Linked DNA regions of Drosophila melanogaster. The protein of the gene in region 2 interacts with the protein of the main gene of each other region in a pairwise test. Each region holds a gene or a part of one and is shown on either strand. Other genes may lie near its edges.

Region 1 (5,707 bases), on a different chromosome or scaffold from region 2:
GGTTTGAAAACAGAAGCAGTTGATACCTTGTAGGTTGGGTATATCGATTTGAGTGAATCTTGTTCTTTAAATTCCGATTTTGTTTCGGGTTTTATGATTGATTATATAGATTAGGTAGTTCGGAAAATGTTTTCTTCTATTTAATTTGAATTTATCAACATGCTGAATAATTTTTCTTGTATTCTCTTACAATGCATTATTTTCGGAGTTCTATATTTCAGTGAAAGTTGTACCTGAAAAATTCTTAGTCTTGTAACCATGTAGCTCGGTGGGGTATCATTTTCGATCATAGTTCGCAACTAGTATAACTAGTTTTGCTGTCACTGTAAAGTGCTGGCGATTAACTTTTAATAGAACTACAATAGCATGGGAATTGCTGCTAATTACCGTAAAATTGCTGAAACAAAAAGCTTGCCAAAGCTCAATTGGATTTCGTTCTGGTAGTAAGGTCTTGAAAAATGCATTTTCAAAATTGAAACAGAAAATACGGATTAATCAAAACATTGAAGCGATAAGAAGGTCTAAATATAGTTTCAATGCGCACCTGTGTCTGCGTTGAATCATATCAAAAGTTGCCTTCAAACTGATAAGCTGGGCTTTTGATAATAAATAATCGTATATGTACTTCTGCTTGCTACCAGCCGAAATTATTCTAAAAACATATATTTATTTTAATGGTTAGGTTTTGAAATTAATAAAGCAGTTGATGTTAAGTTAAGATAAATAGGTTCAACATGTGGCATAAACACTCTATAGAGAACTAATTTAAAAATTAAAAATAGATTTGTTCAGCTGTAACAACTTATTTTGCATGTTTTCAAATTGACCATAGAACACAGGAAGTGTTATTGTTTTAGTCAGGAACAAAGTATATATTACTTAGATATATATTTTTAGTCAGAATTGACACCCAACTAAATCTTACCGTGTCTGTTTATTTCCACGTAATCGTATTTACTTAAACTATTAAACCTATTGCAGGTATTAGATAAGGCAATAACAGGCCGGGTCGGAAATGTAATTACTAATCTAATTTTATATAAACTATATAATTTAGCTGAACTAGGAGCGAGCGGAATGGGATTTGCAGTTTAACGTTCGTAAAAAATACAGGAAAAATAAATAGAAATAAAATACATTTTATTAAAACAGGACGACTGTAGTCGTCCAAGCTAGTGGTAGCTAAGTTACTATAGGTGAAGGGTATATAAAATTCGGCTTACTTTTTATGTTGCTCTAAGCTTTTAATTGCACTTAAAAAGTACAGTACTTGTAATATATTAAAAAATATATTCCATGCATTACAAATCCACTTTTATATCTGAAAAGCGTTGCAACACAACCTTACAACCTAATAATTCCCATGAAGTCCATAAGATTATTCATGATTTGAGGAAGTGATTTCCCCGGCGATATGTTTTCCATTATCCACTTGATTACCATCGGAAAATTGGCGACCCGTTGGCCCCGATTCCGCGAATTAGCTCCGATCTTGGGCCCCGAAGGTTAGGCAGCAAATTTGGGGTAATGGCAATGCGAGCACAATGAGTCCGAGTCCATTGGGCGGCTGCCCACTGTCCACTGGCCACCCACCGGCACAGAGCATGCATGCAGATACAGACATTATGCTCCACTCAATCAAGCTGGAAGGGATGGGGCTCGAGTGCAGCTGGCAGCGGAGAACGCAGACGGTCTCCACTTCAGAGATGGAACCGAGAGGCCCGGCGGACGTGGTGGACGTGGGCGGATACACAGGGATGGGAACAAGAATGAAAAGCCTATTTCCTAAGTGTAATTAATTAATTTCGCTGGCTGGGCCCGACTGCGCCCAACTGCAAACTGCAGCCGCATTTGCCTGCCATCCGTCATCCATTTCCGAATCAGAATCAGTTTGTCCAGCGCTCTGCCGTCGCGAGCACGCTCCAAAGAGGCCAATCGGAAGAACTTTGGAACTTTCTTGAGTTGCGACACGTACATTTTCAAGCTGGACCACATTTTCGAGGACTGTCAGCGGCAGCAGTTTCACAAAATGTCTCATGGCGAGCGAAAAGGCCGCCTCAATGTGGTCAAGTTTCTCGAACTGGTAAAGGATTTTTTTTTCAAGTGATTTTACTGCAAGTTCTAAGGATTAATGAATTAATGCAAAAAGCAACGCGTATGCTTACTAAACAATGGTTTGTCAAAAAAAAAAAAAAAAAAAAAAAAAACGACTTGGGAATTAAAAGAAAAGACCCGAAATACCAGATAGACTCGGAAATTATAAGAACACCAAGAAGCACCACAAATGAAAATCCCCTCACTTTTCCAGGGTTTTGCGGTAGCGTGTCTGGTGCTCCACTTCTACAGCTTCAACGATCGCGATATAATGACTTCGTTCCTGGCCACTGGCACCTTCACGGGCTACATCATAGTGGTCATCGGGGTCTTTGCAGGTACGCCTTGGAATGCCAGTCCTTAAGAGTTAAAATACTAAAATAAGTTAACCAAAAACGAAATTTGCACACAAATCTACTTAAGATACCTTGCAATTGCAGGCGTTCTGATGCGGGCACCCATTCACAAGCGCATCGATATATTCTTCAGCGTCCTGGGCTGCACCTTGTTCGTGGCCAGCGGTGTGTTCATCATTGAGGCCTGGGAGTTCTCCTTCCGCACCCGAACTCGGGATCTCGCGCTCATCAAGGCCTCGCTGTCCATCGTCAATGGGGTGCTATTCGGATTCGATGCGGTGTTCACATTTCGCGACAAGTGAATCGTTCAGTTTTTAGACGGAAACCACTGGCCAGATCCGCTGGAGCTTCTTTCGTATGCATTTAATAGCTTATAAGGGTATACATATCTTTCCGGTTCAACTGGCCATTCCGCCAATCATACAAACAACCAAACTGTTAACGTTTATCTTTATATTTAAGTGTTTTTTTTTTCTCTCAATAAAAAGTAATTCGCCATCGCTCAATTAGTCATATGAGAAAGCAAGAGTCGATACTTGCGACTGTGTGTGGTGCAGTCCCGGTACTCAAGTAATTGTTTACAGAGCGAGACACTCGACACAATACATTTGCAATACGGCTATCTAAAATAATCCTCATAATTAAAGTACAAATAATTCAATTGGAAATATAAACGGTCTAGAAAATCACTCTAAACTTATGTAGGCGATGATCCCGGCCTGCTGTTCCTGCTCATTTCACGGGAATTCGAAATACGAGCTTGTAGCACGGCACATACCACCAAATTCGATAGTCCTAGCTAAATTAGATCGCGAGATCCAGGTGTTCGCAGAACATATAATTCTAGGGTTCCGTGGATCGTAAAGCGAGAGTACCGGCAACAATGGGACACAAATGAAGGTGAGCTGGCGGCCCATTTTGTTGACATCGTAATAGTAGTTAGCGTTATTTTCTTATTTTTTTATTGTTTTTTTTTTTTTTTTCTTTTTCTAACTTTTGTATTTGCTGATAATCGTGAGACCGCTGGCTGGCTTTGTTATATTTTTTTTTTCTGAGTTCCACTGCCGAGCTTGTTGTTATCATCTGGCGCTGGGCATCTTTGGATGTCGATTATGTGTGGTGCTGAGTGGTGTGCATACGTAGGTAAGTGGAGTGCTCCTAGGCAGAGTTGTGGATGTTGAGACGGAAGATGTCGTGGGCCACAAAGAAGGTGCCTGCGTTGGCCTTCAGGAAAAAGACCTGCGAGAAGGCATGTGGGGGATCGTCATCGCACTGCAAAGGAATGAAATCATAAATACGTTAGCAGATGCCAGGCAAACCAGTCACATTTAAAGTCAATAACACAAGCGTGCGAAAAACCAATTTCAACGTATTGAGTTAGATATGAATGGAGTACACACAGTTTGAAGCCAGGGTCAGAGGGAAAGGGTGTACAACTGGCAGCCGATTGATCGTGTAAGGTGCGTGTTTACTGTACAGGGCTCGCTCGATAAATTGAACATAACTCCAAAACATTTTCACGAGCAGAATAAACTTTATACCAAATGTGCGAGCAAAATTATTATTCACTGATATAAGAACTTCTCAAAACTTTCCTCAGTTCCATTCAAAATTGAACAACATTTGAAAGTTTTTTTTTTAAGGCATATTAGGGTGCGCTTAACAATTTGGGATATTTACAGTTCTCTTCTTCGAGCTATTGAACAAAACAATATGCAAGTTAAGACTAGTCAATTGGTATTTGGTTTTGTAACAAATGAAAAACAGAATTTTTATAAGTGCAATATCAATTGAAAGCATCTAAAAATATAATATAAATATAAACCGTTTAGTTAAAAATGTAAAGCAATAGAGGTTACAGAAATTGTTTGTGTTACATTAAAATTGCATTATTAGGAGGTTCCAGGTCCCCAGCGACCAACCGAAAGAAAGAGCAAATCCAACTCAAAATCAACGAAAACCATGCACGAAATGAAATGCGCAACATTTTGATTTGATTAATTTTCGTTGGACATTCACGTACTGTGAGAATAATTAGAAGAAATTGGACGACGACGAGACGCCAAGGATAAATATTTTTGTATATGTGGGCGGAGTGGGCATGGCTGGGCGGCATAAGGTCGACAAGCAGCAGAACTATCTTATCGCTTAGATATGGATTTCTTTCGTTTTTTAACTGGCTCTCGTCTCGTGTCTGCTGGCTGATCGTTTGGCTGCTGATCTCGATCTCGATTTACACACATATAGCCGGGCGCTGGAGTCTGTGGACTGGGCGTGGCAGGTCGGGCTCGCTGGTGCTACACATCGTGCAGCGAGAGTCGGAATATATCGTGCTGCACAAAGAAACTGCCGCCCACCGGCTTCAATACGAAGGTCTGAATATAGGCATGCGGCTGATCCTCGTCGGTCTGCATTGGTTTGTTTTGGCATTTGTGTTTCGTTTTGTAATAACCAGAATTGAGATATTCGATTCAGATTCAGGTGACTTATATGGAATAATAGATGCAGCGGCGGTCGGCAAATAGCACTGCCCTTACGACTTTACGGAAGAATGATGAATGATTTCATATCTTAAGTGATGGGCGATTGAAATTTGCTTCTACGTCTCTACATATATCCACTTTGAACAATAAGGTATCGTAAAATACATTGAGGCAGTTACTCTTTTTAAAATTCATTTCATTTATCTACCTACTATAACTGCATCAATAAGTCAATGGATATTATATTCAAAACAAGAGAGAATGCTATGGTCGACTTTTCCGACTGGAAGTGAGAACGCGAAATTTCATATTGAACAATATGAGTGGGCGTGGCAACATGGATCAACAAACTTGCGCTGCGTCGGTGTCTCTAGGATCGGTCTGCTTAATATCAACCTTCTAGCTTTTATAGTTCCTGAGATCTCGACGTTCATATGGAGAGGGCCAGATCGACTCGGCTATTGATCCTGATCAAGAATATATATACTACATTTTGTCGAAAACGATTGCTTCTACATGTTACATACTTTTTAACGAATATAGTATACTCTTTAACTGCACTAGTAACGGGTATAATGTATCTTAGAATGAAGAACACTTAATGGAATAAAGTGGCAGGCTTAATAAAGCCCATACATGATAACAAATAAATGGGAAACAGTGCAAAATAAATAATGTTCTTATGTGAAAGCCAAAACAAAACGTTCTATTTGTTACAAAAACGATTGTCAAGCATTTACGTGTTGAAAAGACCAAAAATAAAATTCAAAACTT
Region 2 (8,569 bases):
GAAGTTCGATCTGTTCATTGGCCGGGTATGGTGTCTGCTCAAGAGGTACCAGACCTTCCTGGGCAATGCCCTGAATTCCTCCCAGGAGGCGGAGCTTACCCAGGCTGCCTTGCCAGTGCCAGTGTTCGAGTGCCTACATAGGCAGTTTGGTGTAAGCTTCGAGTGCTTCGCCTCGCCATTCAATTCCTATTTCCGACAGTACTGCTCTGCGTTTGCCGACACGGATGCCTACTTCGGTTCCAGGGGGTATGTAGCCAAATAGTGAATTTTAATAAGCTGAATCTAAGTGAAATGTGTGACCTTTACAGGCCCTTCCTCGACTTCAAGCCCGTTTCCGGTTCCTTCCAAGTAAACCCTCCTCATTGCGAGGAGCTGATTGAGGCTTCTTTGCTGCACATCGACAAACTGCTCACGGACACCATGGAGCCTCTGAGGTGAGATTAAACATCGGTTTGATGTTGCTTATGAGTATAATACAATTTGTTCTTGTTTTACTCAGCTTTATTGTGTTTCTGCCGGAGTGGAAGAGCATATCCAAGCTGGACGACAGCATGTACAAGCGCCGTTCAATGGTGGTATTGGGCATGGCCCACGAGTACAGACACGGCTATCAGCACATGTTGCAAAAGTAAGTTAGTTAAACTTATGCTTTTCCCATTCATACTTATTTAACTCCGTTAATTTCCAGGTCTGATGTGCTGATCAAGTGCATGCAGGGCACACAGGTGGTGTGGTTGCAAAATAGCGCCGGATACGCGCGATGGGGACCCAATGAAATTCGCGTGGAGGCACTGCGTGAGGCCTTCAGGCCACAACGAGATCGGGAGCGTGAGCGGGCTGCAGCTGCGGCGGCAGCAGCTGGGGTAACCTCCAGCCAGCAATCGCCATCGACGCCCCCATCCGCCGCATCCACGGCTCCAACAACCAACTCCTGTACGATCAGTGGAGTCAATAGCAACAGCTCATCCACAGCCACTACAACGAGCACAAGCAGCAGCCCGTCGCTGACCACAACATCGTCCTCAATGTCGCCACTGTCCCCGCACACGCCCACCGGGAATCCGCCGCCACAGTTTCCGATGACCATCAGCAACACCAGCAGTAGCAGCAATTTGGTGGCCGCCTCGCCCACAATGAGTGTGCAAAGCGATTGCTCTTCGCCCTCCTCGTCGACGATGTCTCTTTCACCGGCTCCTGCTTCGGGCGGCTATCCGGATGGAGTGACATCTGCCACAGCGGCAGCGGTGAGCATTACGGCAACGACTACCACATCGGCTGCTGGAGCGGGATCTGCATTTGGCCAGGCCAATAGCATCAGTAGTTCCGCATCCACGCAAGCGGTCATCAACTCAGCCGTCTAGATTTGATTCTTTTTGGGATCTTGCTATCCACACATGGTTCTATTTTGTCCATACTATCTGTGCACTTTCTGTTAGCATAAATTAGGGTTACATTTGAGGAAGAAAAAACCAATTGGGCCTGAAGCCACACTAGCGGCCATGCTCCCAGTTCTGAGGTTTAGTTTTGTGTAATCGGATGATAATCGCTTTAATTTAAACAAACGCGGAAGCCAAAGGGATGGCAACTTCTGTTTTTCCGAAAAAGTACAACTATCCAATTCCGTTTTCAAAATGTATCGTTGGAACCAGGAAAACGCATATACATATTACGCAATATTTTGTAATTTCTTATTTTAAAAACTTAATTTGTAACGTTACACATCGCTCGGTGTTAATCAAATGATGCCTGTCCGAATGGTAAATTACGTTTGGGTCAAACAACAGGCTTTAAAACACTAAATATTTTGTTACACATTTTTGTACTTCTTGTCAAAGCTTTAATTTTCAAACGTACACATTTTTGTACTTCTTGTCAAAGCTTTAATTTTCAAACGTACACAGTGCTCGGCCTTTGGCAGCTGGTATTGCCCCCATCGCAAGGTATAATTAATTGTAAATATGTTATATTTAATTTGAAATAGCTGATAAAAATGCCGGCCTGGCCGCTGTTTATCTTATACGATTGTACCCAACAAACAAGGGCCAAGCTACCCAACAAAAGACTCTAATAATGCATACATAGTATGGGTAGGGGTACTGTTCTCTATCCTTGTTTCAGGGTATTTCGCAATGGTTTGTCCATTCACAAAACGAAGTGAGAAATAAAGAACACATTCATGTGAACTGTGAAGCCCTTAACAATCGTTTGTGAGAATATTAACTTACTAGAATACATTAACTTTTACGAAAATGGCAAACAATTATTTGAATACTAAATTATCGTATGTACAAATCGATAACTAACGTAAGTAGTGAAGGAAATTTAATGAAGGGAATGCGCAGAGAACCAAATTTGTAATTGAAACAAAACCATAACTAGGCACCGCACAATAAATAAATAATTTAAATCCGTTAAGGATCTGGGTGGAGTCTTCAAGGAGCTTGTAGGCAAAACCTCGAGGTGCTCCGCCCGGCATAATCTTAAATCAAACCTAAGGGAATTTAGCCAATTTATAGAAAGTAGCACTCGGCAAAATTTTTAGAATCCAATTATCGTCTAAGTCGAAATTTATTGTCTAAACCGATATGCTATCCCCACCCCGTATGTACCGATAAACAAAAAACTACACAAAGCATTTTTGCGCTTAATTAAACAGTTTCTTTCAATTCAAACCTGTTATTATGTAAACTTTTTATTATTACATTGTATAGACATCGTATCGCATAAGTGTGTATATGTGAGTGTGTGTATGTACTTTTGGATATGGATTAGCTGTTGACTATAAAGAAACCTTAAATGCTATAAACGCAAAGAAAAAAAACCAAAAGTCTTGAAGGCATTTAACGGGGAAACTCAATTTACAGCGTAACTATATACTACGTCTATATAGCCAGCCTCGTATTCTGATTGCATTACATGATCTCCAAGCTGGAGTCACTATTCTTGGTGACCACCTCTGTCTCCGACGAGCCAGACCCGGATCCAGCATCATCGCCCTTCTCGTTGTCGTCCGACCCGCTGTGCCGGTGATGGTGATGCGGTGAGCCGGCCAATTGCCAGGCGGGAATGGATGGCACTGCGATCGGAGCCACAGGGCCGGCGAACTGTTTTCGGTTCAAAAGCAGGCCCTTAATGGCATCCAGATCGCTACGGAAGTTACTAAATTCGCGGTTCAGCTGCTGGGCGTGTTCCCTTTGCTGTGTGGTGATCAGATCCCTGACCGCCAAAATCTCCTTGTTGAGGTCGTTGGTGCGGGTCTCTACCTTCTTGTCTATGTCGTCCAGGACTTCATCGACCGCCTTCTTCTTGGACTTGCCGAACAGGTAGGGCGCAATGTATTGCTGAAATTATACGGGTTTTAGAAGTTATTAGCAATCATGGACTTTGGACTGGTGGACCACTTAAAACTTATTTATGCGTCCTAACACTTTTACAAAATGTGTTAAATACTAAGTAAATTCAACGTCGTCTGGTAAAAGTGTCATCAAATATATGTGTAATGTATCTAAGCCTTAGACAAGATGGCGATCTTTAAATTCGCACTCGAGTTGGTGGAGTAAATATAATAAATCTTTTTAAAAGACCCCGAAATAGAGATCCCACTGCATCTCACCTTCCAGAAGATGTAGACTGCGTAGACGACTCCGCTGAACAGGGCTGCCGAATGGATGATTTCCCTGATCCGGCCCAAGACAGTCGGCTGCGGCTGCAGCGCGTGCAATTGGGATCCAATGCTAATGACGGTGTTCGGATTCGGATTGGGCTTGTTGGGGTCTTGGGTGAAAACGCCGGCCCGTTCACAGGCCAGCTGAATTTCGTGAGCGGTGAGACCTTTGGACCGTAGGAACTGCTGCTTCTGGATAAGTGTCGTGTGGCGCACCTTGGTGTTTTGTAGAAAACTGACTGCAGTGGTTATCTGCGGCGAATAGTCGGATTATAGATTAGGCAAACTTGAAGGGGTTGAACAAATATTACCAGCGATTCTCGAGGCAATTGCTCATCTACGCCGGCCTCGACATCGTTCTGCACCGAGGTAGCCGTCGCCATGACGGTGGTGTCCCCAGTGTCCGTGTTGTTGCTGGACATCTGTATATCGACTCTTAATTCAATCTTGCCTAGCTAATACACACGAAAACGGAGTGAATCCGAATTCACGAGCAATTCGATTACAAAGTGCACAAAAACAAAAGTGTGACCAAAGACTTTGCTGCTCTCGAAATTACTAATGCATTAGCGTTTCTAGGGTTATTATGTATAACGTTAAGGTAATTTGTAACGTAATAAAGATTTGAACTTGGAAAAATGTTTTTACCGAAAAATTTGGTAAGAAATGTTTCTATTATAAAGAACATAGTACCTGGGCTAAAATTTTAAATGCATAATATACCCAATAAAAATATACTGCAGTATAAAGAATCAGGAAACTTGAATTAAGATGCCGAGACTAAACAAGCAAATCTTTACATTGAAGAACATTAAAAGGGGCTATGAAAGGTTGGTGGCAGATATGCCAAATGTGGTTCTTACAAATTGTGGGTCCTTAATTATTAGTTTCTTTTTCTATGACGTGTAAGCACCAATGTGGTAAAATTTGAAAGTGTAATGGCGATAAGCTCGTGACACTGGTATTTGGTATTTATTTTTGTACCAATTTTATTAATCCAAAGCGTTTAATCAACGCTCTCCGTGCTTGCATTCATATATGTATTCATTTTGCGTCACCTTCTATTTTGTGTTGCATGAAAGCACTAACGCCTTGTTCAAAACGCCAGAACACCACAACTGCACCGATTTGATTACCTGTAGACCGAAACACCTCATTATTTTTATTATTTGGAGGAACAGACAATATTTTCCGGATATAATGGACACTCTGAAGGGCATGCTGAAGGCGTACGAGGCGTGGGTGGGCAAAAACCCCGACGTGGTGGGGGATTTTGAGACCACAGCCAAGTGGGTATCCTACTTTATAGCAGGTAAAGTGAACTCCTTGCTTACATAGAGCCTACAGACTCATCTCATTGGCCGGCTTCCAGGTCGCATTTCCTCATCAAATGTGGTCAGTGAGCTGGTATATACACTGTCAAACATGCTGGTGTTCTACAACGACCGGATCATCGAAAAGGCACGCAATTCCGAGGAGAATTCGGTGATCCACCTGCAATCGAAACTTTGCTACCGTCTAAAGGTCACGTTGACGACGCTCGAATATAGCGAGGTTTTCATCGAGATATCAGCCCGTCGGCTTTTCGGTCAATCCGGCAAGTGGCTGGTGATAGCGCTAATACAGGCCTTCAAGGCAGCGGGCCGTTTCTTTATCTTGAAACACTCAACCTCGGATATAATCACCTCACCGCCCATCGCCGCACTGAATCGAAGGGCCAAACAGAGGAAGAATTCGGGGGATGGTGTGGCCTCCTCCACGAACGATTTATTGCAGTCCCAGCACTCCATTACCTTCCAATTGAAGCGATCTGGCCGTGTGATTCGTAAAGTGGAGGGTGCTCCTCCCCTGCAATACCGCGACTTCAAGCTTCATATAGACAACAATGAAGCGGCGAAGACGCAAATTCCGAGGAAACTCCTGCAAGCAGAATACCTGTATATATCGAAGCCACTAATCCACCTGGTCGCCATGGGGCTGTTCGGCCGGAGAAGTTGGAAGCAATATATGGTAGCATTATCCATTGATTTGTATAGCATTCACCTCTACCGCCAGCATCGCGACCTAATGTCCAAGCAACAAAAACTGGAGCTGAGCAGGCGATGCATAAACATCATGTACTTCCTGGTCCGATCGCCGTTCTATGACAGCTTCACCAAATCCAGACTGGAGCGGATCCTCGACTTTGTGGCCACAAGTGTGCCCATTGCTAAGGTGGTTGCCAAACCCCTTAAAGATTACATTCCCACGTGGCAAAGCACTTACTTCTATCTGTGGTCCACTTAGGCATTTCAGGTAGAGCGTTAGTATTCCCCTAGGCTAAGTTTTAAAGTTACAGGTGTGGACGCATTCGGAGTGTTGAGGGTGGGTTGAGTTTTGGTCCTTGAAAAGTTGTTTGCACAATAAAACGATGGAGTAATTTTCGATATGTTTATAGCCAACTTTCATATTCCTTGAATTGACCCACCCACATGGCATTGCCGCTCTTGAGGTGAAAAATGATTATACATCCCAATTGCTTTGTATGGCTTTTTAAATTATATATGGAACAATATTTATACACATACAATTAAACGAAATTTTCCACTTACATCGCTAACTATACATAACAATTAATCGTAATCGTAATGGGCTAAAACACACAGAATCAGAACTTCAGACTGAATCCCGGTCCCATGGCCAACTGGCGCTGCGTTATTCCAGCGTTCAGGACAAATCCCGTGCTAGCCGACGATCCACCAGCTCCGTGGCTCTTCTTGTTGCCAGTGATAATCCCAGATGAGAGCTTGTTTCCCGGTCCCACGATGATGGGCTCGTCGCGGCCTAGTTGCTTGAACTGCGAGCCACCGGATGGCGGTTTGGGGGAAGAGGCTTGCGCCTTGCGGGCTCCCAACTCGCTCTTGGCCGGCCAGGTGGGAAACATGGATGGATCGATGGGCAATGGCAGCTCCTTGAAGAAGCCGTGCTTTAGTGCCGCGTCGGCGCTCAGTCTTTGTTTCGGATCGTACGTCAGCAGACCCTGCAGCAGCGACAAGCCCATTTCAGAGGTCTTCTCCTGGAAGTGCTTGCGCAGTTGCGAGACGGGATACTCGGTAAACTGAGAGTTCTGCGACAACATGTTCTTCACGGCTGGGAGCTCGGTGTATCCTGGCCAGATCTTCTCGTTCGGAGTTCCCAATTCCTAGAACAATAAATCAAAAGTCAATAAGCATTCTCGGCAAATGAATTTCAAAGTTAATACTAACAATTGTTCAACAAGCTTATTTTAATAACTAAACTTTAATGCTCAACCACAGCTTACCTTAAAGATCCTGTTAAGCTCATCGATTTCAGATTTTCCCGGAAAGAGCGGCAGCATCTGCAAGAATTCGGCGAAAATGCAGCCTACCGACCAGACGTCTATGGGCGTGGAGTAAACCGGCGAGCAGAGAAGGAGCTCGGGTGCACGATACCAGAGAGTGACAACAAGTGAGGTATACTTCTTGATCGGCGATCCATACTCCCTTGCCAATCCGAAATCACCCACCTTGAGAATGCCCTTGTGGGACAAGAGGAGATTGGAGGTCTTCAGGTCACGATGCAATATCCAATTGTCATGGAGGTGGGCCACCGCCCGCAGAAGCTGCTGCGTCAGACATTTGACTTCTCCGGGGAAAAAGCTCTGCTTACGATTTTTCATCGTTTCCATCAGGGATTTCAGGTCGTGTTCTACATAGTCCATCACAATAAATATCTTATCCATGTTGGATCCGACCACGATCTCGCGAACGGTCACAATATTCGGGTGCTGACCCTTGAGAAGAGTGTTGATCTCCCTGAGTGATGTTATCGGAAATCCCTCCTTTTCCTTCTCCATTTTCAGACGCTTAAGAGCCACAATCTCATTGGTTCTTTTGTCCTTGGCTCGATATACCACTCCATAGGTTCCCTCTTCGATGCGGTTTAGACACTGGAATTCCTCCACAGACCGGCAGCCCTGCACACCGGGATAATAGTTGGGCAGGGGAATGCCCTTGTCATCGCACGGAATTTGCTCCTCCAGAGACTTCTGTTTCTCTTTGAGTTTCTCCTCGGGCTTCTCTTCCGGCTGCTCTTGGGTCATTCCACGTTCCTCGCTGCGTGTGCTGCTGCTGGGTGAGGCATCTGCCCCCACGTCTTGACGATCTACCTCATCCTCTAGGCTGCTTTGACTTCTAGAACGGGATCTGGACCGACTGCTTCGACTGGACTGGGAGCTGCTCTTGGAGCTTACAGAGCGAGATCGCTGACGTTGCTTGGGCGACTTGTATAGCTCACCCACGCTAAGTGGACTGTCGGGTAAGGGTAAATCCTCGTCATCGTCTTCCAATTGAGACTTGGATTTAATCTTGCTCTTCTTTTTGCTAGCATAGCTGTCTTCGCTTCCAGACTCTGTTGCGCTTCCTTCGCTGTCTTGCTCAGGAACCTCCTCGTTTGAGTCGCTCTCCTCGCTTTCCTCATCGTCATCATCTCGGATAACCTCGATATCATCTTCCCGCCGCTTCTTGAGTTTGATTTCCTTCTCATAGTTATCCGGCTTGGACTTCCTCTTCACATGAATGTTCAGACCTGCGGTTACACTTGCAGCCACTGTTGTTGGACTAAGTGCATCACTGTGCTCGTTTCGCTCGCGGAGCAACTCCCGCCGAGCTTCCAGTTCCTCACGAGCCGTCTGTTTTCGCTGGCGGCTTTCCCGTTCAGCGGCAAGAAGTTTTTCCCTGCGAGCCAACAGCTCCAAGTCCTCGGGCACCTTTCGTCTGATAACCTCAACCTCCTCGCGCCACTTGCTGCGATGCGATTTGTGCTGGTGCTGATGGTGGTGCTCCTGCTCAGGACTGTCCAGCAGCTCAATGACTCGGTCGTGACGGTTTTGCTTGTGGGTACTTC
Region 3 (6,196 bases), on a different chromosome or scaffold from region 2:
CCACCAGATATCGCATATACCACAAATTATCTCGTGGCCAGTTTAAAATGTTTAATTTTCCATAAAAACCGAGCAGCCGGGCAGCAGGGAGACAGCACAGTCTTTGGCACTGAAAATGGTAACCAAATCCAAATGAGCCTCGAAATGCGATAAATTTGTACAATAAAAAACAAAACTGATTTCCGTCTAATGCGATTGACACCTAAAAAACAAACAAAATGGAGGAAACCCCAGCTCGTTGCCCACTTTGTTTCGCCTCATTTCTATTTCTAATTCCAATTCCTGTTAAATCAAACAAAACAATACACAAAACATACGAAAATAAACCGAAATACAAGCAAGATACATAAATAATGTTATTAAAATAGGCACACCACACCGATCTGGCCGCAACTGTGGGACTGGACTGGTCAGGTCAGGTTGATTAGCTCATCACTTTGGGCCACTAAAAAAGCCACTTCCAGCTGACACTGATTGGTCGCTGTGGTCCACAACTTGACAACGAGTAGTCAGCCCAAAAGACACTGCCGCCGCCACAGAGATGATCGGACATGGAGCCAGTCAGAACTTTAGTTCCAAACAACTCGAGACACTTGATACCTAACAATTGGATTTGGATTATTCAATACAGGCTGAAAGTATATCATTATATTACTCCCGAACTTCAAGGGAATGAATTAAATTTGTTTTGTGTTTCAGCAAAACCTTCAAAATCTTACCAACTTTTCTTCAAATAAGTTTAAAAATGTATACCTCATACTTACGTTTCCCATCTGGAAATCAAAAATCTCCAAAAACCAATATGCCCAGTAATATCCAACATACCGTGTTTGAAAAATAAATAAATAAATGATTTCTTTCGGCCTTATAGAGTGGGCAGACACTGACTGTCTGTTTAGAGACATACTGTCATTATTTATGGAATTAAAATGTCCAATCTCTCCACATATGCGATGTTTCGATGTTCAACTTTGATCTCTGGGTCTTTGCATAAAAATGTCATCCCTTACGATTAATTATGTGTAGAGGCAAACATGATTCGATTAGGAATTCAAATTCTAGAAATTTAGAACCCATCTAAGAAATGTACCCACATCCTTCCGAGCAGAGTTCACGCTCCCAGGCGCTGAGTTTGGAGACCGGCCAGGTTGGAACAATTAGCCGACTGATTTATCTATCTGGAGCACTGGCAACTGACAGCGTTGAATGCCCGGCACCGCTTACATTTGATTTGATGTGATGTGAGCGCCTACGAGCGAATGTGTTGCTGCAACAGCAACTAGCAACAGCAGCAGCAACTAGCAGCAGCAACAGCAACTAGCGACCAACAGCAGCAGCAACAGTTTGTGTTGTGGTGCAAACGCATAATCGTAAAATTTGCAGTGGAATGTTGCAATATTTTTCGCGAGTCGCAAGCAATTTGCGCGTGAATTATTCCAAACGTTGCATTACAAATGATTTCAGCAGCGACCACAACGACCAGCGTCTTTAATTGGCTCACAACGAGGAAGTCATTGGCCCAGCAGCCAGGCAGTCGAGTCACCACCGCCACCTTCATAGTCCACCATCCGGCTGTTTTACTAGCCCACTCCTTGTTTTCCCTCCAGCCGCGAACGTGATGCAGACAAAAGTTTCGGTTTTGGCCATAAAATCATATTCCATGAATGTCACACTTGAGCGGCGGCAACCGAAGATGGGAAGCTGCTGGGACGCGGGTGTGTTGCTCTTGGGCGCTGATGTTCCTGCGGGGTTCTGGTGTTGGGTGTTGGTGCTGGTGGTTTTGCTGCTGCTGCTGCTGCAGCTGGTGGACCTGATGTTGCTCTGGGTGCTACGACTCTATTAACGTGTCGAGTGCGTGAAACTTTTTGCAGGCTTCCATTTAATTTCCATGGCCGATGGCTTGTTGCATTTGCCTAAGCAGCCATTGTTGCCTTTTCGAATTGCTGCGACTGTTGCTGCGACTGTTGCAGTTGCTTTGTTGCACTTCGGGACAGTCGTCAAAGTGATCGTGGTTGTCGTCTGCATCGTTGCTGCCATGTAGGTAATTCCTGGAAGTTAATTTCATTAAGAGCAACTAGCAATGCGCGGCGTATTTATTAGCCACACGATATATTGTATGGGCCATGGCTTTGTTTTTCAAGGAATCTGCCGCCTGGCTGTTCCATGCATTTGTGGAATTCATCATCGGCGGCGACTGGCGGTCGTGGCGGCCGTGGCAGCCGTGGCAGCAACATCCCCAGCACAACTGGCATTTCCCCCGAGCCACTGATGTTGCAATTTTCATAACTTATTGCTGGCATGCAAGTCAGACCCGGATCCGGTCGCGCTTGTTACCGCTAAATATGGCGCGAAATTTCCTTAAGAAAATAAAGAAATACGCGCAAGTGCGATTTCCAGTTAATAAAATTAAACAGCCCAACTCGGGCAAGGATTTTAAAATAACGCACACCGGCCGCCGAGCCGACTTGTAAAATTCTTATTAATTCTGATTGCAAGGCATTGCAAGGATCGCAGATCAGATCGCAGCAGGAACAATTTAGCTCAGATAAGAGCTGCGCTTGCCTGGTTGCCATTGCGCCTACATTTGGTCAGAGTCATGCCGACAAGTGTTGTACACGCATTCCAGATACTTTTCCATCATTAGCCGATCGTCGTTTGCTGCTGTTTCTTGATCCAATCTGGGCAAACACCTGCCACAAGTGGAGCGCAGTGAATCGAAAGCCGTTTGGAGAAAAAACATCAGAGCAAGTGTTCAACTGTGGAGATTCCCTGCAAGTGGGCTTTATTTGAACACGGATAACACGCAGCTTAAATGCTAGTCAAACTCAAGCTCAAGTTACATCAAAACAAGATTCATACAAAGACCGCGGCGGCAGTCTTGTTTACAAAACATATCCAACATGGTATACAAACTAGATTACAAATTCGAAATAAGAACAATGATGCGCCGGTCAGTAGAATATGTAATAAACGCCGATTAACAAAAGGACGAGGAGTACAATGAACAGCTTCGACTTGATGTGATACTTCTGCTCCAGGCTGTTCAACCAACGGTTAAAGGCCTCGGATACGCTGTTATCATTCGGGCGCAAGGAGCGCCTGGCACGCGGCTCATAGCCGAGAGAACCGCTACCCGCGTTTCCACTGGCCAGAGTGCGTCTGGAATACGGGCTGATGCGATCTCCAATCCGTTCGGCTCGCAAACGAGCTAGATTCCTGGCAAATGTGCTTTCGTACTGGTCTTCCTTGGAATCAGTGTCGTCGCTCAGCTCGTTAGCATAGGTACGCTTGTAGCTGGATGAGTAGGAGGCCACCGGCGGAGCCTCTGCAGTCACATAGCCTTGGGCTGCAGTACGCACAAAACTGCTATAGCGACCGGGTGCTGGGTTGCTCGCATAGTCATAGGACCTGGTGGAACTGGTGGTCTGCGCTCTGGCAGATGGCACAGATGGCGGCAGCACGGGAGCTGCTGTCGCTTCATAGACCTGTCGGCGTGGAGGCTCCACAACCTTGCTTTTGTACTCGTACGTAGTGGTGCCGCTGCTTGCGAGCTTCGTGGTCTTCTGTCTGGCCGCGTGCTCCTGCTCCACCAGATCTGCAGCCTGGACTAGCTGCTCGTCCTCTTCTTCATCGGACTCTAGGACAATCAGGGAGTTGACCTTAAGATAATTCTCCTCTCGATCAGCGCGCTTCGAGGAAGCCGGTTGCTCAACAATGGTTTCTGGCTTCCTCAAGGGCTCCACTACTTTCCTTTCAGACCCCGAGGAGGTGGAAGTGCGCCGGGTCTGTACGGGTTGAGCAGCAGGAGCAGTTGTTGGCTTCCTGGCGGCAACGGGCTCCTCGGATCGTAGGCGGTCGGCTTCGTCGGGGCGTCGGCGTATAGCTTCCTCGGGTAATCGACGCACTGGTTCCTTGGCCTCTGCAGCGGTAATTGTGCGCCGAGCCTTTGTGGCGGGCGCCACCTTGTTGCCATCCAGCTTGTCCACCGGCGTGGAGGCTGCCGCCGGAGCAGATGGTGCACCAGGTGCGGGAGCCAGGGTCTCCCGCCTGTTGGTCTTCTTGGGACTAGCGGCCGGCGACGCCTGGCCACCAATGGAGGCGCGCAGACGCTTTACTAGAACCTTCCGGCTGCTATCCGTCACGGGGATGTTGGGCAGCCCCTGTGCCAGCATCTTGGCGCGCAACTCAGCATTGGACAGAGAATCAAAATCGTCCACATCGGCCATTGTATGGTTTTTCGCACACTTTTAATAATTCGTTGAAAATTGAAATCGGCGTCGCTTTTACGCGGTGTGTGCTAAAATAGTGATGGCAGCAGTATTACCTATCGATGATTCTGTTTTAGGGGATATACAACACTGAAGTGGGCTTGACTTGTAACAGTTTTGGCGTTTTAAAAAAAGGGAACACAAGGAATGATGTTTCATACTAATCATCGCACACATCGCAAAATCGTGCAAACGTAATAAAACATCTATGCTATATTATTATATCGTTATTTACGTTAGATATTGGCAAATGAAACAGTGATCCAAGAGTCGCAGTTTAGCTCACCTCTGTTTCGATAACTTATCGATATCGATTGCGCTCCAATGGACTAAAAACTAAAACACAAATCAACAAAAGCAAAAATTGAAGTGAAAATATAAGCTATTACAATTTACATATTACATACAATTTACATATAAGTACGAAAAAACTTTCCTGGGCCGGAAACAGATTCGAAAACAAAGGAGCAAACACCCACATATTTGAAGAGGATTAATCATGGACATCTCAAAGGCACCAAATCCGCGAAAACTGGAGCTGTGTCGCAAATACTTCTTTGGTAAGAGTTACTACCAATGAGTAATGATTGGATTTTAACCAAGTTACTTTCTATTTGTCTCGAACTTAGCTGGCTTTGCATTTCTGCCCTTTGTGTGGGCCATTAACGTTTGCTGGTTTTTCACGGAGGCCTTCCATAAGCCACCATTTTCGGAGCAGAGCCAAATAAAGAGATGTAAGTCAATATATGAATAGATGCCCATGCCATACAGTCTAATATTCCACAATTTCTTTCCTACCTTCCTCCAGATGTTATATACTCTGCAGTGGGGACTCTATTCTGGCTGATAGTACTAACTGCCTGGATAATAATATTCCAGACAAATCGCACAGCCTGGGGCGCCACAGCGGACTATATGAGCTTCATCATACCCCTAGGCAGTGCATAGACATAACTAGATTAATTCGTTAGCAACTAATGATATTAAAAAAGACTTCATTCCTAAACAAAATTAACGTTTATTATTAATCCATCAGAAGTTCCCGTATATGACCCAAACAAAAGAAGTGCTGTTTTGATTTAATTACATATTTTTTATTCACATCTAAAGCTGTTTTTGTTTTTTATAATTTTCTGTATACTTTAAATATGTGTACTATATTTTGTTGAAATTTCTTAGCCGCTAGTTATGTGTTTTGTTCATATTCGTCCGCCCATATTTGAATGCTTGATTTAGCTTTAGTTAGCCATTTTGTGGATTACATTCTTTGCTTAGATACAATTTCATTGTTTCGAATTCAATTCAATGCGCTTTATCCATCTCTAAAATACATAATTTGTATAAAACTCTGCTTGTACCGTTGCATAAGCCATTATGGTAATTTGTTAAATCCCATTTAATTGTTTTGTTATGTTGTGTGTTTGTATCCGTGAGTCGAATGCCTCCTACGATTTGATTACAAATTGCATTAAGAATGTCAAAAAACCTAGCGACTCCTAAATGAGTGTAAGGAAAACACTCGCCGATCTACACATGAAGACATAATTCAAATTGCTATTATTCGGTAAATCGCTTGCATTTCGTTTGCGGTTAACAGCAAATGCTGCCAACACATATAGTAAATTACAATATTATGTATTAATGTTTATAACACGAACTTGGTGGCAAAGCACCTAAGCAGGGCCACCAAATCAATCAGTGGAACTAATTTACAATACAAAAGACTCGCTTTAAGGTATATTTACAATCAATACTTGTTTTATTTATAAATTCTAAAGAATCAATGTGTATTTGGGATAGGAAGCGGGATTTTTGAGGGCCAGATGGGAGCTTTCTCATTCAGTTTTTCTTTTTTTTTGGGCTTAGGCTACAGAACATTAAGTGCCATAAATCACGCGTGTAGAGTCTATGAAGCGGCTAGTGAATTA

The links.
Region 1: the proteins of Pex14 (region 2) and CG15449 interact in a two-hybrid assay, tested with the Drosophila melanogaster proteins (one large-scale study listed by BioGRID).
Region 3: the proteins of Pex14 (region 2) and Ote interact in a two-hybrid assay, tested with the Drosophila melanogaster proteins (one large-scale study listed by BioGRID).

What each region holds. Positions count from the first base shown.
Region 1 is NC_004354.4:21,036,761-21,042,467, reverse strand, and holds CG15449 (uncharacterized protein), read left to right. Parts: upstream 1-1,862; 5' UTR 1,863-2,029; coding exon 2,030-2,083; exon of another isoform or gene 2,084-2,308; coding exon 2,309-2,432; exon of another isoform or gene 2,433-2,453; intron 2,454-2,521; exon of another isoform or gene 2,522-2,534; coding exon 2,535-2,752; 3' UTR 2,753-2,954; downstream 2,955-5,707. Other genes in the region: Ntf-2 (nuclear transport factor-2), read right to left, coding at 3,609-3,722.
Region 2 is NT_037436.4:20,774,450-20,783,018, reverse strand, and holds Pex14 (peroxin 14), read right to left. Parts: upstream 4,221-8,569; 5' UTR 4,087-4,220; coding exon 3,976-4,086; intron 3,917-3,975; coding exon 3,614-3,916; intron 3,342-3,613; coding exon 2,913-3,341; 3' UTR 2,641-2,912; downstream 1-2,640. Other genes in the region: Pcif1 (phosphorylated CTD-interacting factor 1), read left to right, coding at 1-246, 309-434, 500-628, 689-1,361; Pex16 (peroxin 16), read left to right, coding at 4,865-4,976, 5,037-5,950; pitslre, read right to left, coding at 6,312-6,845, 6,966-8,569.
Region 3 is NT_033778.4:18,272,854-18,279,049, forward strand, and holds Ote (otefin), read right to left. Parts: upstream 4,325-6,196; 5' UTR 4,227-4,324; coding exon 2,952-4,226; 3' UTR 2,754-2,951; downstream 1-2,753. Other genes in the region: pen-2 (presenilin enhancer), read left to right, coding at 4,768-4,828, 4,898-5,002, 5,077-5,216. UniProt on the Drosophila melanogaster protein: Inner nuclear membrane protein. Involved in the attachment of membrane vesicles to chromatin during nuclear assembly, and is probably required for centrosome maturation and cell cycle progression during mitosis.